Linked DNA regions of Oryctolagus cuniculus. The protein of the gene in region 2 purifies or fractionates together with the protein of the main gene of each other region. This does not show direct contact. Links are inferred from orthologs where the notes say so. Each region holds a gene or a part of one and is shown on either strand. Other genes may lie near its edges. The genes, in order: AP2A1, OCRL, RAB1A, SNX9 and PLEKHJ1.

The links.
Region 1: the proteins of OCRL (region 2) and AP2A1 purify together in Homo sapiens (affinity purification with mass spectrometry; 3 studies listed by BioGRID and IntAct, counting the BioPlex papers as one, with this or other methods). This does not show direct contact. The link is inferred for Oryctolagus cuniculus from reciprocal best matches to the Homo sapiens genes OCRL and AP2A1.
Region 3: the proteins of OCRL (region 2) and RAB1A purify together in Homo sapiens (co-immunoprecipitation; 3 studies listed by BioGRID and IntAct, with this or other methods). This does not show direct contact. The link is inferred for Oryctolagus cuniculus from reciprocal best matches to the Homo sapiens genes OCRL and RAB1A.
Region 4: the proteins of OCRL (region 2) and SNX9 purify together in Homo sapiens (co-immunoprecipitation; 3 studies listed by BioGRID and IntAct, with this or other methods). This does not show direct contact. The link is inferred for Oryctolagus cuniculus from reciprocal best matches to the Homo sapiens genes OCRL and SNX9.
Region 5: the proteins of OCRL (region 2) and PLEKHJ1 purify together in Homo sapiens (co-immunoprecipitation; 3 studies listed by BioGRID and IntAct, counting the BioPlex papers as one, with this or other methods). This does not show direct contact. The link is inferred for Oryctolagus cuniculus from reciprocal best matches to the Homo sapiens genes OCRL and PLEKHJ1.

Annotation. Positions count from the first base shown.
Region 1 is NC_091449.1:7,765,166-7,770,249, forward strand, and holds part of AP2A1 (AP-2 complex subunit alpha-1), read right to left. Parts: intron 936-5,084; coding exon 867-935; intron 780-866; coding exon 637-779; intron 1-636.
Region 2 is NC_091453.1:107,239,776-107,245,488, reverse strand, and holds the start of OCRL (inositol polyphosphate 5-phosphatase OCRL), read right to left. Parts: upstream 3,810-5,713; 5' UTR 3,576-3,809; coding exon 3,537-3,575; intron 3,286-3,536; coding exon 3,206-3,285; intron 1-3,205. UniProt on the Homo sapiens protein: Catalyzes the hydrolysis of the 5-position phosphate of phosphatidylinositol 4,5-bisphosphate (PtdIns(4,5)P2) and phosphatidylinositol-3,4,5-bisphosphate (PtdIns(3,4,5)P3), with the greatest catalytic activity towards PtdIns(4,5)P2.
Region 3 is NC_091433.1:137,616,811-137,622,689, reverse strand, and holds the start of RAB1A (ras-related protein Rab-1A), read right to left. Parts: upstream 3,914-5,879; 5' UTR 3,488-3,913; coding exon 3,465-3,487; intron 1,775-3,464; exon of another isoform or gene 1,651-1,774; intron 1-1,650. UniProt on the Homo sapiens protein: The small GTPases Rab are key regulators of intracellular membrane trafficking, from the formation of transport vesicles to their fusion with membranes.
Region 4 is NC_091436.1:9,792,685-9,797,768, forward strand, and holds part of SNX9 (sorting nexin-9), read right to left. Parts: intron 4,168-5,084; coding exon 4,002-4,167; intron 1,315-4,001; coding exon 1,164-1,314; intron 25-1,163; coding exon 1-24. UniProt on the Homo sapiens protein: Involved in endocytosis and intracellular vesicle trafficking, both during interphase and at the end of mitosis. Required for efficient progress through mitosis and cytokinesis. Required for normal formation of the cleavage furrow at the end of mitosis.
Region 5 is NC_091447.1:59,108,366-59,114,070, forward strand, and holds PLEKHJ1 (pleckstrin homology domain-containing family J member 1), read right to left. Parts: upstream 3,166-5,705; 5' UTR 2,883-3,165; coding exon 2,789-2,882; intron 2,711-2,788; coding exon 2,643-2,710; intron 2,554-2,642; coding exon 2,487-2,553; intron 2,414-2,486; coding exon 2,323-2,413; intron 2,193-2,322; coding exon 2,129-2,192; intron 2,041-2,128; coding exon 1,924-2,040; 3' UTR 929-1,923; downstream 1-928. Other genes in the region: SF3A2 (splicing factor 3A subunit 2), read left to right, coding at 4,425-4,550, 4,658-4,729, 5,120-5,166, 5,352-5,461.

The DNA.
Region 1 (5,084 bases), on a different chromosome or scaffold from region 2:
GGAGGCAGGCTGCTGGGAGTCCATGGCTAAGTGGTCCCAGACCCAGCCCTCTGATGCTGGAGTCTGCACTTCCAGCCCCTCCCTCAGACCCAGGGGTCCAGGCCTCACGCCTCCTCCTCCCTCAGACCCAGGGGTCCAGCCCAGCCCCTCCTCCCTCAGACCCAGGAGCCCAGGCCTCACGCCTCCTCCTCCCTCAGACCCAGGGGTCCAGCCCCAGCCCTCCTCCCTCAGACCCAGGAGTCCAGCCCCAGCCCTCCTCCCTTAGACCCAGGGGTCCAGCCCCAGCCCTCCTCTCTCAGACCCAGGGGTCCAGCCCCAGCCCCTCCTCCCTCAGACCCAGGAGCCCAGGCCCCAGCCTCTTCCCTCAGACCCAGGGGCCCAGGTCCCCCCGCCCCGCCCCTCACACCAGGGGTCCAGCCCCAGCCTCCTCCCTCAGACCCAGGAGCCCAGGCCCCAGCCCTCTTCCCTCAGACCCAGGGGTCCAGCCCCAGCCCTCTTCCCTCAGACCCAGGGGTCCAGCCCCAGCCTCCTCCCTCAGACCCAGGAGCCCAGGGCCCCCACCCCGCCCCTCACACCAGGGGCCCAGGTCCCCCTGCCTCCTCCCTCAGACCCAGGAGCCCCTGCCCCCCCACGTACTATCTGCTTCTCCGTGTACTTGTTGGAGCTGAGCAGGTTCACGGCCTCCATGTGCCCAAAGTCAATGTCGTGGCCCAGCAGGAAGATGAAGAGCAGCTTGCACACGTACTTTTTCTTGCTGTAGCCATCCAAGGCCTTGTCCCCTGTGGCAGAGCCGGCGGTGAGGAGCCACCACACAGACAGGTCCTGCCCCCCCCGCCCCCAGACCCAGGCATCTGGGCCCCGCCCACCTTTGAACTTGGAGCGAATGTTGGCCAGTTCCTTGTTGATCCTTTTAATCTCCGCCTCCTTGCTCTTGCCTGGGGAGGAGAGAAGGCAGGGCGGGTGGTAGGGGCCCAAGCCCCCACCTCCCCAGGCACGGCCCCCCAGCTGGAAGGCAGCCTCCCAGCCCGGACCCCATCTCCCGCAGGGGCTCACTCATCCACAGCCCAGAGAAGCCGGCCCCCGGCTGGGCTGGCCCCGGCCTCCTCCCACCACGCCCTCCCTGGGAGCTCCCCTGCCGCCGCCAGCCCTGGCCTTGCCCTCAGTGGCCACAATAAACCTGCAGCTGCCGCAGGACCCACCACCCAGGCACCAGGTCAGAGCCCGCTCCCCCTCCTCCTGCCTCCTGGCCTTCAGCCTCCTCCTCCTCCCTGTCCACTGGGCATGCCCCCTCCTGGCGCAGCTCTACGACGCCTCCGTGACCCGTGCGCCCCAGGGCCCGACAACACACTCCGACCACGCGGTGCCTGGTCCTGGCCACCCCCGCTGCGTGCTGTGTCACCCTCCAGCCTGCTAGGTCCGCTCTTGCCACACGTCACTCCGTGGCACACTCAGCTCCTCCAAACGCAGCCGGCGTCCTCGTCCCCCAGCGAAGCCGTCGCCTTGCCCCCCGGCTCTAGCTTCAGGATGCGCCCCCGGCAGCCCCAAGGTGAGCACCCTGCCCACACCACCCAGATCAACCCAGCCGCCCTGCCCTTCCTGGCCCTGTGCACTGGGCTCCCAGGACGCCAGCTGGGGAGACCACCCCCAGCCCACTGAGCCCCCTGGCCCTGCGGCGGGCCCGGCCTCCCCCCCCCACCCTGGGAGTACTCTCGGCTCCTCCCTGCCCGCGCCCTCGCCTGTGCTGAGCCCGCTTCGCGGGGCCACTTTCCCAGTGGTCTTCCCGCAGGGCCCGTCACCTCCTCCAAGAGGCCTGTCCTGCCCACCTCTCTGAGGACAATTCCTTATCATTCCGCTTGGAGAAGTTTTTAAAAGCTCTCCTCCACCCATTTCTTTTTTCATATTTTTGACAAAGATTTATTTATCTATTTGAAAGGCAGAGTTACAGAAAGAGAGATCTTCCATCTGCTGGTTCACTCCCCAAAGGGCCGGGGCTGGGCCAGGAACCTGGAACTCATCTCGGTCTCCCATGTGGGTGCACGGGCCCAAGAACTTGGGACATCTCTGCTTTCCCAGGCCATAGCAGAGAGCTGCATCGGAAGTGGAGCAGCCGGGACTTGAACCGACGCCCACATGGGATGCCAGCTCCGCAGGCAGCAGATTTACCCGCTGCACCACGGCGCCGGCCAGATCGATCCATTCACATTGCGTAATCACTGTCTCTCCCTCTGTCTCGGCTCCCGCCCAGCGCACACATCAGGCAGTAGCTCCTGAAACAGTGCCTGGCATACGGCAGGTGCTCTTTAAACGTCTGGCTATCTAACGGGCAGCGGCCTGCTCTGGCCCACACCTATGCCAATCTCATCCTTTAGCCCACAGCCAGGTGCGGTGTGTACCTCCTGAATGAATGAACGGGCAAGCAGGCACCATCCTGCCTCACCCCCAACTCCCACAAGCCTCACTCCCGGTGTCACCTCCTCCGGGAAGTCCCTGAGCAGGGCTCCGCGGTCCCAGGGAGTCCTGGAGGCACACTGTCAGCCAGGCAGCTCCCGAGGCCTGAGACACGGCTGCTCACGCTGAGAAGGGCTGCAGGCAGCAAGGACAGCGGGCTCTGGAAGGCGGCGTCGGGGACAGACGCAAACGTCGCACTCGGTCTTCAAACACGGGGACCGGCGCTGCGGTGACGGGTTAAACCGCCGCCTGCAGTGCCAGCATCCCACATGGGCACTGGTTCGAGTCCCAGCTACTCCACATCCGATCCAGCTCCCTGCGATGGCCTGGGAAAACAGTAGAGGATGGCCCAAGTCCCTGGGCCCCTGCACTCACGTGGGAGACCCGGAAGAAGCGTCTGGCTCCAGCCCGGCCCAGCTCCAGCCACTGCGGGCATCCGGGGGGTGAACCAGTGGAGAGACAATGGATTAATCTCTCTAACTCAGCCTTTCAAAAAAATAAATACACCTTTAAAATAAGGCAGCTTTCAAATGCCGAGTACACGCACCAGAACTGGGTCACACAAACAACACAAACACACTATTAAAACTACCTCTGCCCGGGGTGGGCATCTGGCCTCGCTCTCGACACCTCCTTCCCACGCTGGCGCCCCTGGGGTCAGGCTGCGCAGACCACGCAGACAGGGCTGACGGCTCCCGGGACTGGGTCCCTGCCGCCCACGTGCAGCCGTGGCCTGACCTCTGGCCCAGGCCTGGCTATCAGCCATCTGGGGAGTGAAGCAGTGGATGGACGCACTCTCTCTCTCTGCCTCTGCCTCTCTACTGTTCAAATAATTACAAATAAATATTTCCGAAGAATCTTTCCTGTTTCTACTTAAAAACCGTGGCTACGGGGGAGGGGAGAATTCATGTTCACGGGTGGCTCTCACAGTATCTCCCACGGGGGCGCTGTGCTGGCCCTACTCGGGGCTCCCACGCCGCCTGTGGCCCACACCAGAGCCGACGTGGCCACGTGGGTCTCCCTGCCTCCCACAGCAGACCCGGAGGCCCGAGGGCAGGGCCAGGCTGCGCCCCTCCTGGGGGAGCAGTCTAGGCACGTAGAAGGGGCTGGAAGGCGGAGGGGACGGCAGGTGCAGCTCTGTCGCCTCAGGGGCCGTCTGAGCCCCGTGTATTAACTGCGTGGTTGCGGGGGCCGCACGGCCAGGCCCAGGGTCTAGGCAAGCCGGGCACTTCTGATCTGCCTCCAAGGACCTGGCCCAGTGAGGGCCAGGCAGCGAGCCCCGGGAGCCCCCCGGCGAGACGTCCAGGGACGGAGGCTGTGAGGCCCTGCCCGGGGCCTGGGGACAGGCAGGACATTTGAGGAGGACCTTGAAAGACGAGAGCACCAGTGCACCGGGGAGGCCAGCACCTGGGGGCAGGGCCGGCGCCAGGGCGGGGACACAGACCCACGCCACCCTGAGCAGGGCCACACAGCTCCTTCAAGGGCTTGCGTGGAAACGCCAGTGGATGACATCGTGACCGCACCGCGGGCCGCGGAGTAGCTACTGGGACAGGGCCGCCCCGGACAGGTATCCGCACAGCAGTTCCAGCAGAGGCCACAGCCCACCTCCCTGGCCTTGACTTCAACCTCTGTGGAGGGGCCGGCGCTGTGGCGTAGCAGGTAAAACCTCCACCTACACTGACGGCATCTCGTATGGGCGCTGGTTTGAGACCCGGCTGCTCCACTTCCGATCCAGCTCTCTGCTGTGGCCTGGGAAGGCAGTAGAAGATGCCCAAGTGTTTGGGCCCCTGCACCCGCGTGGGAGACCCAGAAGAAGCTCCTGGTTTCAGATTGTCCCAGCTCTGGCTGTTGCAGCCATCTGGGGAGTGAACCAGCAGGTGGAAGACCTCTCTCTCTCTCTCTCCTTCTCTCTCTGTGTAACTCTGTCGTTCAATTAAACAAATAAATATTAAACAAATAAATAAATTAGGGACCGGCACTGTGGTGTAGCAGGTAAAGCTGCCACCTGCAGTGCTGGCATCTCAAATGGGTGCCGGGTTGAGTCCCGGCTGCTCCACTTCCGATCCAGCTCTCTGCTGTGGCCTGGGAAGGCAGTAGAAGATGGCCCAGGTCCTTGGGCCCCTGCACCCGGGTGGGGTACCCAGAGGAAGCTCCTGGCTCCTGGCTTTGGATCAGCTCAGCTCCAGTCATTACGGCCATTTGGGGAGTGAACCAGCAGATGAAGACCTCTCTCTGTCTCTCTCTCTCTCTGTCTATAACTCTACCTGTCAAAAAAAAAAAAAAAAACAAAAAAAACAAAAACTATCCATTAGGAGCCAACTGTGACAGATGGGGCTGATGGATGCTGTGCCCCCTCTCAGGCCACCAAGCAAGGGGGAAGGGGCTCAGGGTCCCGGGAGGCACAAGGGGCAGGATTTTTCTGCCCCAGGCTCTGGGATGTCACCCCTGCCCAGCTCGCAGGAAGCACAGCGGGGCCGGGCGGCTCTGGTCAGGCCCGAGCACTCGGCTCCTGGGAGGTGAGGCTGGAATGGACCGCACAGAAACCAGGCAGGTGCACTCTGGGAGCGGGGCACCAGTGTGTGCAAAGGCCCGGGGGCAGGAGAACCCAGGGGAGGGAGGGCTGAGACGCTCCAGGA
Region 2 (5,713 bases):
CATTTTTTTTCAAATCTAATTCTGAAGAGGATAACGAGGTCTAAGTTACTGCTTACATAGAACTAAAGGAAATGGCAGTGTTAATGCTGTTTTCCTGCTCTGATCCTGCTTGCCCAATTTGAAGTGGTTTACATTTTAAGTTGACTATAGGAATGTGGGGCAGGTCCCTTTCAACCTCAAAAGCTCATGAGTTGCCTAAGAGTCCGCTAACCTCATACAGAGACCGGAAAGTAGATAAAAGGCTGAGAAAGCAAGGGTCAAAGAGGAAGAGCTTACTTTGAGGAAAATGAACACAAACCATTTTAGTCTCAAAATCTGGAGAACAGAAATTGTGCTGAACATTAGCAGTAGAGCTTCGACTGTACTGTGTAAGGATACTTCAAAAAGTTTACGGAAAAATGGAATAAAAAGATAAATTTATTGATGCAAAAAGTTTGAAATCCACATTTCTTTTTCATAACACACATTTCCAAGAACCTTTTTGAAGTGCCCTTGTGTACAGTATTAGGTGTCTCCAGGAAATGATTCCAAAAGAAACTATATATATATATATATACACACAACTATATGTTATATAGTTTCGGATATCGGTTACGGCTACTTCTTAACTGTGAACAAATGACTTAATCTCTCTATATCTCAATTTCTATATCTCTAAAAGCTGGGTGATGAGAATAACTCTCACATGAGAGTTAAATGAACTAATTAATGGTAAGCGCTTTGAACAGTACCTGGCATATATCAAGGCATTAACTGCCAGTTGTTACTATATTCCCATACCTTATATAGAATTGGCACACAAGAATCTGATTTCTCTACAAATACACATAGCCAGGAGAGCTGCTACTGCCTAGTTAAAAAATTCTTCAAGAGCCAGAGAACATAAGGCACATATCTCAAGGCCAGACGCATACTCCCTCATTCTCCAAATCTGCTTAACCAAGGGACCAGATCCTGGGCTGTGGTCATCTCAACAATGCAGCTATTGTATTCAACCCTCTAAATTTTGTTTTTACAGAAGAGGAAACCAAGGCACAGAAATCCACAGGTTTGTTCAAGGGTCACATCTCTCCACTGGATCCTACCCTTTGAAAGTTGCAGTGGTAGCCCACTTTTCAATTCAGCTTCCTGAAGAATTTAGTTTCATTAAACTGGTCTTCCAAGGTTTGATGAAATCTGGGGAAAACAGTGTGAATTTCCCACATGAATGGAACTGACCAATCAGGACTTAGGGAAGGGCTACTCCACAGAACCTGTTGACATGCACTTAGAGTGGCACTAGCAACCTCCAATAAGAGCAGACTAGGCCTGTGGGAATGTCTTCTGTGCAATTTGGACATCTGGACAAGAGACACAGAGGATGGAAGTGGGACAGGATGGAGGGGTGGGATTTTGGCCTGGAAGTTAAGACGCTGGTTGGGGTGTACACATCAGAGTGGCTGGGTTTCAGCATTGACTTCTGGCTTCCTACTGACGATGCACACGGTTGGAAGCAGCAGGTGATGGCTCAAGCAGTTGAGTCCCTGCCACCCACGTGGGAGACCGGGATTGAGTACCCAGCTTTCCCTTGGTCCAGCCCAGGCTACTGCAGGCATTTGAGGAGTGAACCAGCAGATGGGAGCTCTATTTCTTCCTCTCTTTTTTTGTTGAGAGACGGCTAGATTCAAGTGATCAACAATTTTTTAAAAAGATATATCTATTTAGTTGAAAGTCAGAGTTAGAAAGAGAGATATCTACCTATCCCCCATCCACTGGTTCACTCCCCAAATGGCTACAATGGCTGGAGGCAGGCTAGTGCAAAGCCAGGAACCAGGAGTTTCATCTGGGCCACCCAAGTGGGTGCAGGGGCTCAAGGATTTGAGATAGGCTCAAGGACTTGGCCCATCTTTCCCAGGTGCATTAGCAGAGAGCTGGATCACAAGTAGAGCAGCTGGGACTGAAACCTGTGCCCATACAGGATGTCGGCACTGCAGACAGCAGCTTATCCAGCTGTGCCACAGTGCCTGCCTGAAGGATGAACAATTTTTAAACCAGGAAGAAACCTGATGTAAAGAAACCAGTGAAAAAGGACTAGTACTGTGGCATAATGGGTAAAGCCACTGCCTGCAGTGCTGGCATCCCATATGGACATCGGCTTGTGTCCCTGCTGTTCCTCTTCCAATCCAGCTCTCTGCTATGGCCTGGGAAAGGCAGCAGCAGACGGCACGAGTGTCTGGGCTCCTGCTACCAAGGTGGGAGATCTATAAGAAGCTCCTGGCTTTGGCCTGGCCCAGTTCTGGCCACTGTGGCCATTTGAGGAGTGAACCAGCAGATGGAAGATCTCTGTCTCTCCCTCTCTCTGTGTGGCTGTGACTTTCAAATAAAATAAAATAAATCTTTAAAAAAAGAAAAACAAACAAGAAACCGGTGGGCATATGGGGTAGGGAGCCTATGTTGCCTAATGGTCACCATGGATACTCTCACGCTGAGGAAGCAGTGGCAAGGGAGTGAGGTTGGCAGCTCTGGTGACAGCTTATCAAGATAATCTTTTGATCAATCAGTCAGCAGTATTTACTGAGCTCCTGTGTCTAAGACAGAGTGGAAGGTAACAGACACTGTTAAAATCCCCACTTATATTTCTACACATTTCCTTACTTTTTCTTTCCAACAGTTAACTGCAGCAGTTAATGGCCCATCCTAACCCATAACTGAATTAATGAATATGCCTTCAAGCAAGTGGAATAAGGGGGTGGGGAGACTGGAGGAACCAGCCGAATGGAGTTAAGACAAGTCTGTAACATTAACAATGAAGCATTTCCATGGCACTTTTACATTTTGGAAAGCACTTTTGCACTTATCATTCCCCCAGTTATTACCTTATGCCTTATGTGAGTTACACATTGTAAAGGCTAAAAGGTAAGGCAGTTTGTTTTTATTCCTCCGATGAGGAAACTAAGGCCCAAAAAGCTTTATTGGTTTGCTCAAGGTTACACAACCCACGTCAGTGCAGCCTGCCCAGTGATTCCCTCCACCGAGCCACACTACCCGGCACAGTCTAGTGGCTTGGAAGTTGGGGACAAAGCCCCATGGTTAAGGAGCACTGTCACTTCACACCTAGGCCAGAACCTGTTGCCAGCGTGGGAGGAGAGGCGCTGGCTCGTCGCAGGTTGGGGTTGGCAGGCAAAGCCAGGCTCCCCTCCTCCGTGAGAATCAGGTGGTTACTTACTCATACTGCCCATTCCTCTGGGCTAGGGTCAGGACGCAGGGCTCGCGGAGAGGACCCTTCATCTCCATACCCTCCACAGTATGCGGGCGCTAGTCAAGGGTCTCCTGTAGACGCGCAGTCGGGGATGGGTGCGTGGTGCAGGGCGGAGAGTCTCCTGCCCCGCTGGCCGCCTTCCCCCGCCCCCCTAGGCGTAGCCTCCCGCACCCACCCCTCCCTCGCTCCGCTCGGCCTCTTGGCCCCGCGATCCTCCCGCTCCCCCGTGCTCCGCAGTGCCCCAGACCCCCATCCCCCGCCCTGTGCGGCCTCCCTTCCCCCTTCTCTCGGCGGATACGGCAAGGGGCTGGGCTCCGACCGGGAGCGGCGGCTCCATTCGGGCGGCCTCTGGGCTCTGCGGGGTTGTGGATTGCGGGCGGATCCGACGACACTGCCTCCCGCGTCCTCACACCCACCCGCCTGGGCTACGCGTCGTTTCAGAAACTGCTCGGCGCCGGGCTCCAGAAGCCAGGAGCCGGGAGCCCGGAGTCGTGAGCCGGGAGCGGGGAGCCGGGAATGGAGAGCCTGACCCAAGAGAGAGCGGCGCCTCGCGCCCCCGCCAGCTTTCCAGGCCGCCGCAGATTCCGCCCCCTGTGGCCAACCTGCAGAACTGCAGCGACAGACCCGACGGACTGGGGGCGTCTCCACCAACGTCCAGCAAAGGATGTTTTACATGTTTTCTGTGACACTACAATTGTGCTGAGATCTCTGAAGACTGCCACATAAGCCAAACACTGTCATATATATGAAAGAACTCAAACGTGTTGGGCCAATAGGATCCACATCTTCTAGTCAAAAAATCCTTAACAGGATACAATGCATCATATTGGTTATCCCCCCCCCTTTAAACAGATCTATCTATTTATTTAAAAGACATAATTACAGAGAGAGACAGAGAAATTCTCCATCCGCTGGTTCACTACCCAAATGTCCCGGAAGCCAGGACCCTGGAAATCCATCCAGTCTCCCACATGGGTGGCAGGGGCCATCCTCAGCTGCCTTTCCAGGTTCATTAGCAGGGAGCTGTATCAGAAGCGGAGCAGCCTGGACATGAACCGGCAGGCTAGCGTTGCCCCTGCCTGCAGCTTCAGCTTAATCCCGGATGTGCCACAATGCCTGTACTTCTTCTATCTCTTAAATTGGAAAATCAGGGGACGGTGCTGTGGCATAGCCGGTAAAGACACTGCCTGCAGTGCCGGCATCCCATATGGGCGCGGGTTATAGTCCTGGCTGCTCCACTTCCAATCCAGCTCTCTGCTATGGCCTCGGAAAGCAGTGGAAGATGGCCCAAGTCCTTGGGCACCTGCACCCATGTGGGAGACCCAGAGGAAGCTCCTGGCTCTCCTGGCTTTGGATCGCTGCAGCTCCGGCCATTGCGGCCAACTGGGGAGTGAACCAAAGGATGGAAGATCTCTCTCTCTCTCTCTGCCTCTCCTCTCTCTGTGTGTAATTCTGACTTTCAAATAAATAATCTTAAAAAAAAATAAATTGGAAAATCCCCCAAAATGCTGACCTTTACTTCTACTTTGAACCTCCTCCAGGTGGCTTCTAAGCAAGCAACGTCTAAATGTATATCCCTGGCCAAACCTCTCACCTGATGTACCTCACTGATAATGAACATGGTGACAGGATTAATTCATCATTTCACATAGTTAACGGGGATTGAAACCTCAAAGCCATAGCTTTCTTCTCTTTCCTAATATCCGTCTCTAATCTGTCAACAATTTTTGTTAACCTTTTCTTTGGAATTACTTTTAGATTCCTGATTTTCAATTCGTACTGCATCACCTTACTGTAAGCCCTTCTGATATCCTATTGAGGTTACAGCATTTTCCCTAAACAAATCCTGTTGGCTTTAATCTCTGCTTTGACCTTTTTACTTTGCTGACAGTCATAAAAATATTCTTCCCAGAGTAATGTTTCCTTTTAAGAAAAAGACTCCCTAATTTATCTGAAAGGCAGAATGACTCAGAAAAAGAGCTATTTTCCATCTGCTGTTTCACTCCCCAAATGGCTGCAACAGCTAGATGTAGGCCAGGCCAAAGCCAGGAGCCAGGAACTTCATCCTGTCCCCCATATGGGTTGCAGGAGCCCAGGTACTTGAACAATCTTCTAAGTCATAGTATCAGGAAGCTGGACTGGAAGCAGAGCTGCTGGGACTCCAATCAGCTCTTGGATATGGGATGCTGGCATTACAAGCAGCTGCTTAACCTACTGCATCACAATGCTAGTCCCCCAAAGTATTGTTTCAATCCTGTTACCCACTTTCTCCAGAAATCTGTAATGGACTAGGTATCAAGACTGACTTTAAACCTACAGTAATTAAGAGTACAGTATAGGGGCTGGCGCTGTGGCGTAGCAGGTTAAGCCGCCACCTGCAGTGCCGGTATCCCATATGGGCATCAGTTTGAGGCCCGGCTGCTCCACTTCTGATCTAGCTCTCTGCTGTGGCCTGGGAAAGCAGTGGAAGATGGC
Region 3 (5,879 bases), on a different chromosome or scaffold from region 2:
AAAGGATTTACATGAAACAGAGCACTGGTCAATTTAAAAAGTCAAACCATGCCAAAAAAGAAAGAAGTTTTTAGACTGAAAAAAATTTGAAATCCTAGAATCATATTTTTAAAAGGGGGAGGAGGTGTGTGCTAAAAACAACTTAATTATTTTAAGTGTTTCGCATTACAGGACTACAGCTGATCCAAATAGACTGCTGTATTTCTTCTTCTTGGTTTACTGGCATACTCAAGATAAATACACACGCATTGTTCTTAAAACATTACTTAAAGATGAGAGAGCCAAAATTATTTTTTTAACACTAAAAAAAAGCACTAGAAGCCAAGGGATTATGAAAAATGCTTCTGGTATGAGAATAATGTTAAGCATTTCTTAACCAGCATGCTGAAATAAGCACTGCCTGCTTCACCACATCACTAAAAAAAAAAAAAAAAAAAAAAAAAACTTCAGATTTCCATAAAAAACAAAGTTCTACTTTTTCCATACTTCAGACTGCACTTCCAATTGCTTGCTTTCGTTTGTAGTTGATAGGAAAATCATCCAAACTTTCTACCTTAATGTTAACCGTGGGTAGGTCATTTCTCCCAAACTGGCTTGATAAAGGAAAGCAGTCAAAAGGATGGCTTAAAATTCAACTACTGATGTATTTTTCCCCCTCACCCCTAAAATAAAAACTTAAATATTGTAAAGAACATTCAGAAATATAGCTACCAACAGGTAATCTTATGTCAGCCAATAAACATCTTCCAAATTCAGCAACATCCTACAGCAGATTTTTAGGTTTTTAAAAGGAACAAGATAAATTAGACAACAATCCATAGCAAGCTAAGAAATATCTGGGAGGATACATTAACTAATGAACCATTCTGTAATCCTGGAATAAGGGAAGACATTCATCCATTAAAAGTGTTAATTAAGAGAAAGCATAAGATTTTAAAGTTTAGAACAAGGTGTTAAAGAAAATGTATTCAATAATAAGGAATGCTTTCTTTTTTTGTTTTCCAATTACTCTTACAATGTTAAACTTCGTTAAAGACAAAAAGAGATCAATGAAGTCAGATTGGTAAAAAAAAAATCTGATTATTGGTTGCCCCCGATCTTCCCTAAAATAGCCATCTTTTACTATCACCCTAAGATATTTTCATTAACACTTTTGCAAAGGTTTTCCCAAACTACTGGACTATTTTAATAGACAGTCCAGAATGCAAATACAGTAGGCTAGATATTGGCAAACAAGATGCCAGAAAAAAATATAAAAAGATTTTCTAAGTTTGACTCTGTTGAGATCATTAATCTAAAGTTCTTAAAAGAAAGGATGATCTGGCACTACACTTACTTAAATTCTATAGTCCTTGCCATTTATTGGCCATCCTTCCTTTTTGCCCCTGGAAAAATCCTCCTCGATCCTTTCTGCTCTTCCAAATCTCACTGCTAATAACATCCTTACAGGTTTCTTTTCCAGAGTCTTCCAAAACCCAATGGGCAAGCCAAAGTCACTACATTCCTCTGAAATCCTGTTGCTCCAATCTATACTGCATATTTGGAACTTGCTATATCTACTGACATTTGATATGCATAAAATCTACATTCTAAAAAAAAAAATCTACATTCTATATTCCATTTATAAGTTCCTTGGGGAACTTATAAAACCATAGCACTGTTAAACCCTAGCACTATCAGAATGCCTTACAGGAAAATGATTTCTACCTCCAAAAGAATGTTCTTACCATTTTCCAAATTCGTCTGGAAGTATCTGAATCTCACCACTACATTGGTAAGGATGACTCCTATTTATCCTATTTTACAAAAGGAGAAACAAATTCTGAAGCTGAGTAATTTCTCAAAATCTCATTCAACTAATTAATTTTCAAGGTCTATTTATAGTACTAAACATATGTAGCAAATATAGGAACCTCCCTGAACAGCAGAGGTTTAAAAAATCTCCATATAGTGGCAAATCCAAAAATTCATGTTCTTTACTGCTTCCAGGATAAACACTAATTAGGAACCTTACATCAACTCGGGCTAACCACGTAACACCAACTTTGTCCTCGGAGCCCTTGATAAAGAAAAAATTGCCAACATAGCAAATTTTTCAAGTAAGAAATTCTAGTAAAATCGTATAGCTACTGTTTAGTACGAAAAGATATTTCAGCATCAAACCACAATATTACAAAATTTGAAGTCAGAATGCGTTTTGCAACAGTCATGTGACACACACATGACAGTCAGCTAAACTGAAGAGTTGACTTTTCAGGGGGATATGTCTACCAGTAACTGACCAAAGCAAAAAATAAAAAAACTTTTGGGACAAATACTAATTTTTGCTTTTAGAAATCCTCCTGAAAAGGTTTCCGGCGCTGAAGAATACCAATTAAATTATCAACTTTTCATTAATTTACATATATGTAAACTGTAGGAAGTGTTTTTTCTTAAGGGCCATAAAGAACTCAACTAAACTCTTCCCCAAGGCAAGTGAACACTAGTTCCCAGGAAAAGTGCCAGGTGTGTCACATCTGTTGTGGTGACCTCTTGAGTAAGCAAGGAAAAGAAATGCATTAACTTTTCATGACACGTCATGGAAGCTCATTCCCTATCTACAAGCATTCAAGTAGGTAATCCAAAACCTACACGATCTACCATAGGTCCCACTCGTTTCTCTTTCAACTTGACAGTAGTCCTTGTCCAATTCGGTAGTACCCTTGGTTTTAGTTCTGTTTTTTTTTTTTCTCCCTCCCTTGACCTATAGAAGACAAAATGACTTAGGTGTCCTCTAACAACAAATTCTCCCAAATGTCCAGGGCTTTGGGAGGGCGATGGACCAGGCAAGTTCTTAAAGAACTCCTCCAGGAGATAACTCCAAACGAGAACTAAGCATTTTAAATCGCTGCTCACCATCTCTCCGCTCCTTGCCCTCAATCCCACGCAGTCCCGAGAAGCATCCATATTACCTGCAACCTGGCGGGGAGGGTGGCACGACAGGGAACCAGCAAGCTCAGGCTTTACAAGTAAAGCTGGTTTCCAACCCGGCGATCCTGACAGCTCCGCAGAGCGCGGGCGCGGGGTCTGACAGTGCCCTCTGGGGGAGCTCTCCCACCCTTCTCCTCCCCTTAAAAACAAATGCCCCTTCCAAAGTTACTGCCCCCGGAGGAAGCTGACCCTTCAGGCCGCTCCGCCACCGGACTGCCCAACGCCCCAAGGCCCTCCGCAGCGGCCCGGCACTCAGGCCCTGAGGCGGACCCGGCCGAGGCCCGGGCCGCTCACCTCTCCGGCCGACCCCTCCCCCCGGCCGCCCCTCCGCCGTCAGACAATGGGGCCCGACTCCCGGCCTCAAGCCTCTAAGGCCCCGTCACCCTTGCCTCCCTCGGGCCAATGCCCGCGCCCCTGCCCCAGCCCTCCTCGCCCCGCTTAAGCTTCCCAAGCTGGCCCACCGACCCAGCCGACCGGTGTTCTCCTGCACTCACTATTCGGGATTCATGCTGGACATGTCACTGCAGCTGCCGCCGCCGCCACCGCCGCCCTTGCTGCCGCAGCCGCCGCCCTGACTCTCCGCGCCACGGGTAATCGAAGGAAAGGAATGAGATGGGCTGTTCCGGGAGAGCAAACGTCTTCCCCCGCTCCGTCCCCTTAGAACACAATCAGCAGCCGCCGCCACTCAGCTATCGCTTCCACCCAAAATGGCCGCCGGCGAACCAGGAAATAGGGAAGCCTCGGACCAAGGGGTCTTTACACGGCCCGGAGGGCGGCCTCGGCGCGTGGCATGCCGGGAAGGAGAGTCGCGAGCGCAGCTACACGCGCAGAAGACCGACGGTGCGGCAAGGCGGCCGGGACTCCGCTTCCCGCCAAGCCCCGCGACTCTGGTGCATGCGTACTTGTGCGGTTGTCGCCCGCTCCATTCCCCACTCCCTCACCCCCCACCCTCCGCCCCTCCCTGCTCCCCTCCCCGTTGACTCGCTGGCTAGGACTTCGCTCGGACTCCCCCTAGCGGATTGGCTAAGGCCGAGAGGCCCCGGTGATGTCACCAGTGAGACGTGGCAGCCGGGCGAGTCAGCGCCCCACGGGGGAGGGGGTGGGAAGAGGCAGAGGGCGGTACCGGCCGGGGCGGAGGATGGGGGTCACGGTGGGACCGCGGGGCGGGAGGGGTCTGGCCTGGTGGGACGGCCCGAGCGTGGGGGAAGGGGCGCGCGCCTGGCGGCCCCTGAGCCCCGCGCGGTTCTCGCAGGCCCGACGGGCTTGAGGCCTGCCCTTCGCCGCTGGTCCGAGGACGTAGGCTCAGAGGGCGGCGGGAAAGTCGGGGGCCTCTGCCGAGGACTTCCGGCGCCCTGGACTGCGCGCAGCCCTCTTCACTCACCCGACCCCACCCGGGTTCGGTCACTACCGTTTTCTTTTTGATTTTTACAGTCCTGGCCCAGCCCCACTCTTGTCATGTCACCTCAGCCTGGACATTTCAGTTGCCTGCAAGTGGACTATGCCCCAGCCCATTCGCACACAGCGCTTCCACCGTGACCCCACAACCTTCAAGGGCTCCACAGCCAGGGGTGGGACACAGCCCAGGCATGGCCTAAGAGTTGAGTCTACCTGCTCTCGGCCCAGCCTTCAGGCTGAATTGTTCTGCCTCTTTAAAAGTTGCCACTTAATTCTGAGCAAGATTGGAAAGTAATAAGCGATAAAAACGTACAATTCATCACTATATAGTGCCCACAGACTCCAGGAGTAATACTAACACATAAAAAAAAAAAAAAAAAACAACCTTATGGGCTTACCAGCTCTCTTTAATCAGCTCAGGAATTTAAATCTCCACTAAACTTTAACACATTATCTTGCTTGGGTTATTTAATTACAAAGGGCATAGTATAACACATTGTCCAAAGTTTATCTTCCAACTGGTTCTAAGAACCAAGAAAATTATCTCCTGAGACTTTAAGTGATTGCAAAATCACTTAAAACTCCTATGGCACCAAAATATGGGAAGAAAGTAATTCTTCACTTCTACCCATGTACCAACTACACTCCTAACCCCCAAATCCCACCATGCACCTTAGTTGATAGCCTCATCAAACAGTCAGCTAGAGTTCCTGTATATGATGTTGATTTCTGAATTGAACATGGTCACCACTCCAGGAAAAGGACCCTGAATGGATTAAAGAATGTTTCTTACCCTGGACTCTAAAATCCTAGACCCTTCCTGCTTACTGTGATTTCACTGAGTAAAAACACAAATGTGCACAAGCACTCATACTGAGCTAAAAATTCAACCTTTCATCTATTCCAGAGATACACTATTTCCCCACTTTCTGTAACTATTTCCTAATCCAACAAAGAATTACCTCCTAAGTTTTAACCCAAGTGAGAGGATACTATGTGAATTAAATTAAAAAATGTAAAGCATGTGGTACAATGACTTTGGAGTACCTGGTAAACGTTAATAACTTTCTGGAACAGGCATTTGGTACAATGTTTGAGTTGCACATGTCTCACATTGAAGTACCTGGTACAAGTCCCAGCTCCGCTTCCCATTCCAGCTGCCTGCAATATCATGCTTTGAAAAAATTTTACAGTGCCAGCACTGTGGCGCAGTGGGTTAAAGCCCCAACCTACAGCGCCAGCGTCCCATATGGGCGCTGGTTGAGTCTGGCTGCTCCTCTTCCGATCCAGCTCTCTGCTATGGCCTGGGAAAGCAGTAGAAGGTGGCCCACATCCTTGGGCCCCTGCACCCATGTGGGAGACCTTGAGGAAGCTCCTGGCTCCTGGCCAGGATCAGCTCAGCTCTGGACGTTGTGGTCATTTAGGGAGTGAACCAGCAGAATGGAAGATCTCTCTCTCTCTCTCTCTCTCTCTCTCTCTCTGGCTCTGGCTCTGGCTCTACCTTTCTCTGTAAC
Region 4 (5,084 bases), on a different chromosome or scaffold from region 2:
CCAGGTTTTGCAAATCCAGGAAATCTAATCATGAAGATAAATGCTTGTGAGTCCTTCCTCGTAAGACTCCTACAGCTCTCACCCACAGTTACTGAACAAGCCACTTTTAACCGTGTTTTTTCTTTCAGGTGTACCAGATCTAGGAAACCATGGTAAACAATACCTGATGTAATCAGACGGCTCAAGAGCCAGTCAGTAATTTAATTAGGCATGGTCAGTTGCAAAGGGCAGTTTGACTCCGGAAGGTGCGATATTTATGGGTTCTCAGTGAACTCACCCCACTCAGAGAGAAGGGAGCAGCACCCTTTCCTTGAGAGTCTCTGAATTCACAGGGGCAGTGAGTACTCATCAAACCAACTGGAGTGGCCACATGGGGCGATGGCCACGCATCAGCATTTGTACAAACTAAGGCCGCCTCTCGCCACACTCTGGAAGGCACAATTACCCCAGAGAAGCGGCCACTGTTCGCAAGCATCCCTGCCATTTTCTTTTGGAAGTGCCTTCAGAAACTACTCCGTAGTGAAAAGACCCAAAGCACAGTAAGTAAATCTGACTAGTTCGAGATGCCATCTGATAAGACCCCAAAACATAATAAATAATAAATGTCCATCTCACTCTTTCCTCACGCTTCCTTATTAAGCAGATTTGCAAGGACTACTGAATAAACATTTTAATTGAAGAGAATCTAAGTGGAAACAAAGAGCTGAGCTAAGAGCTGTGCTCTGGAGCCGAGGAGCTGGGATCCCGACAGGAGCACGGCCTGCTGCGTGAGCGCAGGGCTCTCCAGCCGCGCTGGGTTTCTGTGTCCCGCAGCGAAACCGCGAGTCTACAACAGAGGGCGTGTGGGGACACAGGCAGACAACCACTCTGTACGACCCCTCACATGGAAGTGACTGTTACAACGTAAAACGCTGTTAAAGAGTTGTTATTTTTAGTTTCGCTTAGCTTTCTATATATGCTTATGTTTCCCACTACTATCAGAAATGAAACTTCCTATTGACATGGAGTTGATAAAATAAAAAATACAAGTGGCAGATTATTAAATAAAATAATTATTTCAGTTATTAACCTTGTAAACTAAGACTAAGTCGTGCCCCAGAGAGAGAGAGACCGCCGCAGAGGAAGAGCCGGCCCTGGGCCCACCGGGCCCCGCACACGCTTACTTGTTGAGGGGCAGCTTCATGGAAGAGGCACTGGCACGACTGTTTCCTCGCTGGACGCCCCCTGCTTCCGAGGATTCCGAATCCTTAAAGTAAGGGGAAGAGGACTTGGGGTCATCCCAGTCTTCGTCCCAGTCATCATCGTCACCAGTTGCTAGAGGTGGGAACAGAAGTGATCATCATTAAAGAAAAACAAAATGAGAAAAATAAAATGATGGCATTTTCCGAGAGCAGCTCCTGTCTGGGCTGAGGGACCTGCGTTGTGGTGCGGTGGCCTAAGCTACAGCTTGCAACAGATGCCAGCATCTCGGGTCGGATTTGAGTCCTGGCTACTCTGCTGCTGATCCAGCTTCCTGATTCTGTGCCTAGGCAGGCAGTGGATGATGGCCCAAGCACGTGGGCCCCTGCCACCCATGTGGGAATCCAGAATGGAGTTACTGGCTCCTGTTTTCAGCCTGGCCCAGATCTGGCTACTGAGGTCATTTGGGAAGTGAACCAGTGAATGGAAGATTTCTAACTCTGACTTTCAAAAAAATAAACAAATCTTTAAAATACATATTTTTATTTGAAAAGCAGAGAGACAGATCTTCCATCCACTAGTTCACTCCCCAAATGCCTGCAAGAGTCAGGCTGAAACCCAGAGCCAGGAACTCAGGCTGATTCTCTCAGGTGGGTAAGAGCCAGGGACCCGAGCGCCTGAGCCGCCACCTGCTGCCTCTGGGGGTGAACATTAGCAGGAGGCTGGAACGGGAGGCGGAGCCAGGACTTGAATCCAGGCGCTGATTCAGGATGCTGATGTCCAAGCAGCATCTCAACCATCGTGCGAAATACACCCCGTCCTGATGTGACTTTCTGAACTGGTTCTCTTCTGTAAATTTCTGTTCTGTTTGAGGCTTTCTATTAATAGTCTAGGAGTCAAACAGGTCATTTAGGGAAAGATAAAATGGCTAACACAGAGGCCGCAAACCAGCAGGTGACAGACCATATTGCATTAGCTTTCAGCTGAAGGTTTTTGAAAAGCAGTGAGCCAAATCTCTTTTTGAGAGGGAGGAGCCAGGAACTGTATCATGGTCCCCCCAGGGGTGACAGGGATCACCTGGTACCCCCCAGAGTGTGCACTAGCAGAAGCTGAATCAGGAGCAGAGCTGAGACTTGAATCCAGGCACTCCAGTCGGGACACAGGCATCCCAACCTGCGTATTAATTGCTAGCATAAACGCTAACATCTGGTCAAGATTTTGAAACAAATGTGTTAGTTGCTGAGATGTTACAGCAACCGAGATTTCCAGTCTTGGTGATGAGAGCGTTCACTCAGCTTTCTCCCAAACGCAGCGATCTGTGAGCGGGAGGCTGCGCCGACAGGAGGCACTTTCCAGTCTGCTGCAGCCTTGTCTTGCTCTTTTACTTTATGGCTCAATTTGTGACTCCTTGACAGATAACGTGAGATGGAACTAAAGACTGTCATTAGTGACTATCATCGTCTGGATCCAGAAAATCACTACATTTGGATCCTGGTTTGCTGTCAGTGAAAAAGAGCACTTCTGAGCAGTTCTTTAAAATAAAATCTATTTTTAACTCCAATGACCTGGTAAGATACTGTGGTATAACAAGAACTAGTTATTCTGTCTCTGCACCCGGTTCCTGGCAGAGCTCCTAAATCTCCCGTCATCTGCTGAGCCACAGGGGTGGTAGGTGTACTTCCTTTGTTCTAAGGAGGTGGCTCTTGGTGGGCTTCTACACAGGGGCTGCTCGTGCCATGATTAGAAGCTGGGAACTTTCAGCCCCAGCCGCATGCTCCAGGATGAGAAGAGGGACTAGAGAATCAACTAATAACTGGTCATGCCTGTGTCATGGCTCCAGAAAAATCCCACAACTGCAGGAAGCTCCGTGCCCTTCCAGACACCTCACTCCATGCACATCTTTACCTAACGTGCATCTGTATCCTGTGCAGGGCCCTTCATCATACACAGGTAAACCCTGCAAAGTGTCTCCCTGAGCTGTGAGCCACTCCAGCAAACTGATGGAAGCTGAGAAGCCCTGGGATCTAACTGTGAAACCCAGCCCTAACACAAGGCCTTTGCTGTGGGATTCTCAGGCCCAGGGCTCTCAGGTTCCCTCCCTTAAAGTTCTTTGTCCTGCTTCCAAGATGGCAAATCAACCCACTGGATTGGGGGAGGTGCATTAGGTCCAGCCAGCCAGACGGGGTCCCATATCACAAGGATCAAGAGGTCATTCATCGCCTCTACAGATAACTTGATATCAGACTGTCTCGAGGTTATTGTTTCTGTTTTTTTGTTTTGTTTTGTTTTGTTTTAAATAGAACAGGCTCTGAGCAAAAAGTAACACCCACCTGCACATAACCCCCAGCTGCCCATAAGCAAAATGCCCAAAAGAACCCTCTGGCTGCTGTCCTACCCCTGACCACCAGAGGAGGGCCACAAGCACTGCAGACCAATCAGAGACCTGCGCACAGCTGGACACGTATCCCCTGAGCCTAGCTTCTGTCTACTAAAGATTCCTGACCCTAGCCCCTCAAAGAGCCAGAGAATCAGGCCTCGGTTGCCTGTGCCTTGTTCCAGGCTTTGCCAGCAGTGAATGCTGACTTGCTTCCACCGCACTGGGTTAGCGATGGGCTGGCTGCACGGATTCTGCAACAACTCCAGGCAAGTGGCATCAGGACTCAGTCATACTGTGGCTGTGCCCTGGAGAAGTGCACGGTGTGTGGGGTGTGATCACAGAGGTCCTCCGGTTGCACTGTGTATGGAAGGAGTGGAGACAGTTTGGCTTTTCTGTCTCCCATGCCATTTCCTATCAGTCACTATGGCAGGAGCCCCTTCCTTACCTGGTCCTTGGTAGGCCTGGGGGTGGCCAAAGGCAGCGTCCCAGTTGTTGGCAGAATTTCTCTGGGCACCCGCCCCCTCTGGCTTGGCCCCCCAGCCATCTGAGCTCTCCCAGTTCCCAGATTTGGAGGCACCCCAGGATGACCAGGGGTCACTGCCACCGCTGACCTATTGTGGGAGGAAAAGGAGAAAGGATATTTGTGAATTCTCAAAACTATGACTCAATTCAGTAATGAACAACATGACAACTGAATAAAAGGAGTGCTAAAAAATCCAAACAAATTTATCAAAAACAATGTTAAGTAATTTTCCCCTAAATTTGTAGAACAGCACAAAATGTGGCATCATCCTAACTTTACTATTTTGCCCCATCTGCTTGGGAATTTTGCAAAAGGCAGCAAAGAGTATCAGACCCAGCTCCTCCCCCTTCCCCTTCCTCCCCAGAAGTGTATCCATTCCCACGCCTTTTTATGCCTCCATGCAAATATACACATCCACAAATCCCAACTGCTGCATGTTTTTAAAACTGACCTAACCAAGGCTGGCACTGTGATGTAGCAGGTAAAGCCGCGGCCTGGAATACGGGCATCCCATGTGGGTGCCGGCTTGAGTCCTGGCTGCTCCACTTCTGATGCAGCTCTGCTATGGCCTGGGGAAGCAGTGGAAAATGACCCAAGTCCCTGGGCCTCTGCACCCATGTGGGAGACCTGGAAGAAGCTCCAGGCTCCTGGCTTCAGATAGCTTAGCTCCAGCTGCTGTTGTGGCCATTTGGGGACTGAACCAGCAGATGGAAGACCTTTCTCTGCCTCTGCCTCTCTGTAACTCTGCCTTTCAAATAAATAAACAAATCTTTCAAAAAAAAAAAAAAAAAGAAGAAGAAGAGCGACCTAACCAATGTCACACTGTGTCTCTCAGCCCATGTCACGCAGTCTCTCTCAGCCAATGTCATGCTGTGTCTCTCAGCCAGTGTCACGCTGTCTCTCTCAGCCAATGTCACACTGTCTCTCTCAGCCAATGTCACACTGACTGTCTCAGCCAATGTCACACTGACTGTCTCAGCCAATGTCACACTGTGTCTCTCAGCC
Region 5 (5,705 bases), on a different chromosome or scaffold from region 2:
GCAGGGAGACCGGGCCCCGGGGCGTGGCCGTGCGGCCCCAGCGGGCAGGCAGTGGACAGGTCGTAGGCAGCCCCCCGAGGCCGGGTGGCAGGCAGCGAGGCAGCCCAGCCTGGGCGCCCGCCGCCGCATCGCTGCTGGGGTCGGCCGGGCCCCCCTCTGCCCTGTGCCAGAGGCGCGCGGCGCTGCCCACGTGGGCTCTGGCTGAGCGGGTGTCCGCGTGGCTCCGGGCCCAGCGCCCGGCACGTGGCGGGCCAGGCAGGCGGCCCGGAGGCGGCGCGGGTGGCAGCCGCAGCGTCCGCTGCCGCGGCCCCGCCCCCAGACGTGGCGCTGGCTCGCACGGGGCAGGAGCCGGGCTGCTGGGGTCGTGCTGGGCTCCAGGCCTCGCCCGGGCCTGGGGTGGCTGTGGCCGGCTGCCGGCGCGCAGGGCGGGGGCCGGGGCTGCTGCCGACGCCGTGCCCGCGCCCGCCGGCTCCGCGCTCACGCCGCCGCCTCCTGTGCCCTCCTGCAGGTAACTAGGACTTCTACCTCAACCGCGACCTATGCAAGGACGGCGTGGACCAAGGACGCCGGCGGCGGGGGGGCGCGGAGGGACGGCGGCCCCGTGCACTGTGCGCAGCGGCCCCGACCGACGGACGCCGCCCGAGCCCTGCGGGGAACAGGATGAGCCGACGCGCGCCGGCCGCCCCTCGGTGCTGACCGCTGCAGCCCCCCTACCAAAGGCTCCCCCTCCCCTCCCCCTCCCCGGGGCTCGGCCGCGGCCCGCAGGGCGCCCGCCCGCGCGACAAGTGCATTACTGTCCCGGGCCCTGGCCCGCCCCCTGCCGGCCGGCGGCAGTATTTTATAGCTGGATGAGATTTGTACGTTCAGAGACGCGACGGCATCTATTTTTAGATTGTATGACGCACAGCGAACTTAGAGTGTACAGGTGTACAGCAGAGCAAGGGGAAATTCTATTTATTCAGTGCACACTGTGGCAGCAGCCCAGGGCCACTGTCCGCGCAGGGACCACTGGCGCGGGGCCTGCTCTGGGGGCAGCGGCGGGCGGGCCGGCCAGGACCCCGCCCGGCCTCCGCCCCTCGGCCCCGCCCCCAGCAATAGTGAAGTCTGAAGATGGTGCTCGGACCCGGTTCACGCCGGCCCACCCCCCTCGGTGCTCTTGGCTCATAGGTGCTGCGCCCCACGCCGGCCGCGGCCGGGGGAGCCGGGGGCCCCCCTCGGTGGACAGTAGCGACGTCACACACGCAGGTCCCCGGTCTAGAACAATGCACGTTCCTGAGACAAACACTGTACCCCCCGCCCGCCCGCCCGCGTGCCCGCGCCCGGCGGGGAGCTGACCGAGCAGCCGCGCCCAGGTCGAGCCGAGCTGCTGGGCGGCGGCTCCGCTCAGGAATCGGTCAGGTCGCCCCCGCCCCCGCCCCCGCCGGCGCTCCCCTCGTCTGCCCAGGACGGCGACTTATTTAACACCCACCCCCGTTATTTATCTCCCGCAGGACCCCGTCCTGCGCCCCCGCCCGGGCTCCGTGGTCGGCTCTGTGCTCACTGTCACGGCCCCCCCGGGGGTCGCTCTGCACTTTGTGGTCCCACCTGCAGCCGCTGTTAATAAAGAGACATTTTCACTTGAACCTGCCCAGTGCTGCTTCCTGGGGGCGGGGCCGCTGGACGCGGGGGTGGGCGCTGCAGGCTCCCGCCCCTCCCCGCAGGAAGTCCACCACCACCGGGATTGGAAAAGGAGGCCCCTTTATTGAGCGCGGGGACCCTGGGGCTCGCCCCGGCCCGTTCACAGCACGGTCTAGCTCCGCTCTACATTCAGCCGGTCCAGGACGGCCGGTGCCGCGGGGAGGGGCCTCGCAGGGCGGGGACCCCCAGAGGGCAGCCCCCGCCTCCGCCAGGAACCCCTCCCACGCAGGCTCGGCCGGGCCGGGGTCAGTCCAGCGCGTCCAGCCCGGGCCCGGGCCCGGTGCCCGCCGGCCGCCCGTCGCTGGGCGGGCTGCTGATCTGGAAGCGGGCCTCCGCGGAGATCCCGAACTGCTCCAGGGGGTCCTAGGGCGGCGGGCGGGGAGACGCGGTGACCCGGGGCCCGGGGCCGGGAGCCCCGCCCGCCCGGCCGCCCCGCACGCGCCCCCCGCACCTTGCCCGTCATCTTCTGGATCTCATTCCGGTAGAAGATGAGGCTCCTCCGCATGACCTCGTAGCTGCGGGAGAGGCCGTGCCCGCGGGGTCAGGCCGCCGCCCCCGCCGCGCCCGCCGCGCCCGCCGCCCCCGTCGCGCCCGCCGCGCCCGCCGCGCCCGCCGCCCCCGCCGCCCCCGCCGCCCCGGCCCCACCTGGCCCTGCGCAGCGCCTCCGTCCACTGCCGGCACTGCTCCTCGCTGCCGCACTCGAACACGTACTTCCTCTCCGGGTCCTCCAGGAAGCCTGCGGGAGCGGCCGCTGTGGGTGCCCGCGCCCGCCCCGCGCCCGCGCCGCCCCGCCCGGCCCGCGCACTCACCGATGGAGAAGCTCCGCGCCTCCTCCTGGGCGACCCGGCAGCGCTCCAGCAAGAGGGCTCCGACGGGCTGCGGGCACACGCGCCGTGAGCGGGGCCGCCCCGCGCCCGCGCGCCCCGCGCCGCGCCCCGCCCCCGCGCCCCGCGCCCCGCGCCCACCTCGGCCTCGTCCGTGCGGAAGTAGAAGAGGAAGTTCACCACCAGCTTCACCAGGCGCCGCTTCAGCACTGCGGGCACACAGCGGGCTCAGGGCGGCCGCGCGCCCCCGCGCCCCCGCGCCCCCGCCCGCGCCCGCGCCCGCTCACCGCTGCCCTTCTTGGGGCCCCGCATGCCCAGCTCAGCCGCCATCTCGGCCGGCTGCCGGGACAGCGCCTGCAGCTCCTTCTCGTTGTAGCGCATGGCGCCGGCGCTGCCCGGGACCGGGAACGCGCGCTGCTAGCTCTGAGCCCTCTCGGCCGCCGTCCCCGCTCGCGCCAGAAAGATCCCAGGTCGGAGCCCCGGAAGCGCCATTGCGCCTGCGCGCCACGGGCGAGTCTTGCGCGCTGCGACCGCGGCGTGCTGGGGCGTGGGTACACGCCGGGCAGCCGCGACACAGCCGCGGAATAAAGTGGGTCTGAGGCGCAAGCAGGATCGAAGGACCGCCGAGCGCGGGCGGACGGGGCGTTACCGGTTCCCGCCCCCGCCCCCAAGAGCCGACGCGGGTGCGCGCGCGGAGCGCGTTGTGCGCAGGCGCGCCTCGGGCACGCGCATGCGCACACTCGAGGGCCCGTCCTCCCTCCGGAAGTGCTGCGAGCGCCCGCGCCGCGCGTGCGCACTGCGACGTCGTGGCGGCGGCTCCTGAGGCGGACGGCGGAGGCCTGCGACGCGGGGCGCGACCCACACGAAGTAGGCGCGGGGGCCATCGGGGCCCCGGGGCGCCCAGGGTGGGCTGGGGGCGCGGGAGGGAGGGGCCGGGGCGGGCGGCGGGCCCCACGGCGACCCCGGCCCTCCGGAACTCCGCGGCGGGCGTCGCGGGGGTCGCGGGGGTCTCGCGTCCGTCCGGGGCGGGCTCCGGGGTCCGGGGAGCGGCCGCGGGCCTTCGGCTGCTCGGCGGGGCGGGCCCGGGCCGCGGGGCCGCGCGCGGGGGTGCGTGCCGGCGTTCCCGCCAAAAGCCGCCGGGACCCCCGAGGCCGCCCCCGCTGGCGCCTTTGTCGTCGTGGGGGTCGGTCGCGGGCGCCCGGGGGGCTGCGGGGCGTCCCGGGTGCGGACGGCGATGCGGCTGCGTCTTAGATTTCCCTCCCGCAAGCCTGCGTGCCCGGGGCCGCGTCTTCCCCTCGGTCCGCTGTCCGACTGTCCCTTCGCGTGGTTCCCCCTCCCCCAGCCCTGAGGTCCTGGGTTCGCGTCCCGATGGAGGGGCTGTGGGGCCGCCAGGGCTCGTGCGTGGACCGCGGGCGGGCCCGGGTCGCCCTGGGGTCAGCCGGGGGCGGCTCGTGCGTGGACCGCGGGCGGGCCCGGTAGCGCCCTGGGGTCAGCCGGGCCGCCCGCGCCGTGCCCGGAAGTCGGGGTCGCAGGGGCGGGGTCTCCTCCCGCCGGTCCAGTCCCCGGAGGCCGGGCCGGGCCGGGCCGGGTCAGAGCAGGTGCGGGGCCCGGGCCGGCAGCCAGGACTCGGGCCAGTGCCCGAATGGGGCCCGAGCGGCCCCTGCCGTCCACGGGGAGGCCCAGCCCTGGCTTAGGGGCATTGGGGAGTGGACGGCGGGGGGGCGCCAGGCGGTCGTCCGCGCCCCCGTTCTCCCCGACGCCCGCGGCTGGGCCCGGCGGCTGACACGGGAGAGCCCGCGTGGGTGCGCCCGGGAGGGGCTGGGGGCTGCCTCCTGGGGTCTCCGGCCCCCGCCGCGTCCTGAGGGCCCCCCCCGGTCTGGGCTCCGCAGGCTTCTCCGGCGCTGAGGTCCGCAGGCCGGCACCATGGACTTCCAGCACCGCCCCGGCGGCAAGACCGGGAGTGGGGGCGTGGCCTCCTCCTCCGAGAGCAACCGGGACCGCCGCGAGCGCCTGCGGCAGCTGGCCCTGGAGACCATCGACATCAACAAGGTAGGGCCGCCCGCCCGCCCCCCCGCGGGGCGCCCCCGACGCCCCCGACGCGCCCGACGCCCCCGACGCCCCTGACGCCCCTGACGCCCCGCGCCGCTCTCCCCCAGGACCCCTACTTCATGAAGAACCACCTGGGCTCCTACGAGTGCAAGCTGTGCCTGACCCTGCACAACAACGAGGTACTGGCCGGCCTGGTACCCTGCCCCCGCCCCTGCCTGCCCCCGCCCCGCCCACCGGCCGGCCTGAACCCCTCGCCCCCGCCCCGCCCACCGGCCGGCCTGGCCCCCCCCCTCCACCGGCCGGCCTGATCCCCCCCCTTCCCGCCCTGTCCACTGGCCGGCCTGGTCCCCCGCTCCTGCCTGCCACCGGCCTGGCCCCGCCCCCAGCCGGCCTGATCCCCCCGCCCCCGGCCTGACCCCCGCCTGCCGCTGCCCCACCCCCCGGCCGGCTTGGTCCCCCCCTCCCGCCCTGTCCACTGTTCGGCCTGGTCCTCCCCCACCCCGCCTGCCGCTACCCCGCCCACCGGCCTGGCCCCGCCCCCGGCCTCATGTCCCGCCTCCTCCACGCAGGGCAGCTACCTCGCACACACTCAAGGGAAGAAGCATCAGACCAACTTGTGAGTGCCCCCCGCGCCCCCCGGCTGTGACACGGGGGAGGGCCCCTTGACCCGCCCCCCAGCCGCAGGGCCCCGCCCCTCACCCCCCCCGCGGGAGCCCAAGGCCGGGCAGGGGGGCTCCTGCACCTGCGCCCGTGGCCTTGGCCTGGTGTGGAGGACCACAGCGCCCGTCTGCCCCGCCCCAGGGCCCGGCGCGCAGCCAAGGAGGCCAAGGAGGCGCCCGCCCAGCCCGCGCCCGAGAAGGTCAAGGTGGAGGTGAAGAAGTTCGTGAAGATCGGACGCCCTGGCTACAAAGGTGAGGGGGCGGGGCCGCCCGACACCAGCCCTGGGCGGGGGGGGGGGGGCAGGCGGGGACAGGCGAGGCCCTGGGCAGGGAGGGGCAGGCGGGGACAGGCGAGGCCGTGGGGCTGTGGGCAGGCGGGGTCCTGGGCACGGAGGGGCAGGCGGGGCTGTGGCGTGCAGCCCTGGGCCGGCCCTCTGAGCTGGGACCTGGGCCTCACCTGCCGCCCTGGGCGGGACGTGGGGCTGCGGGGGGGCCC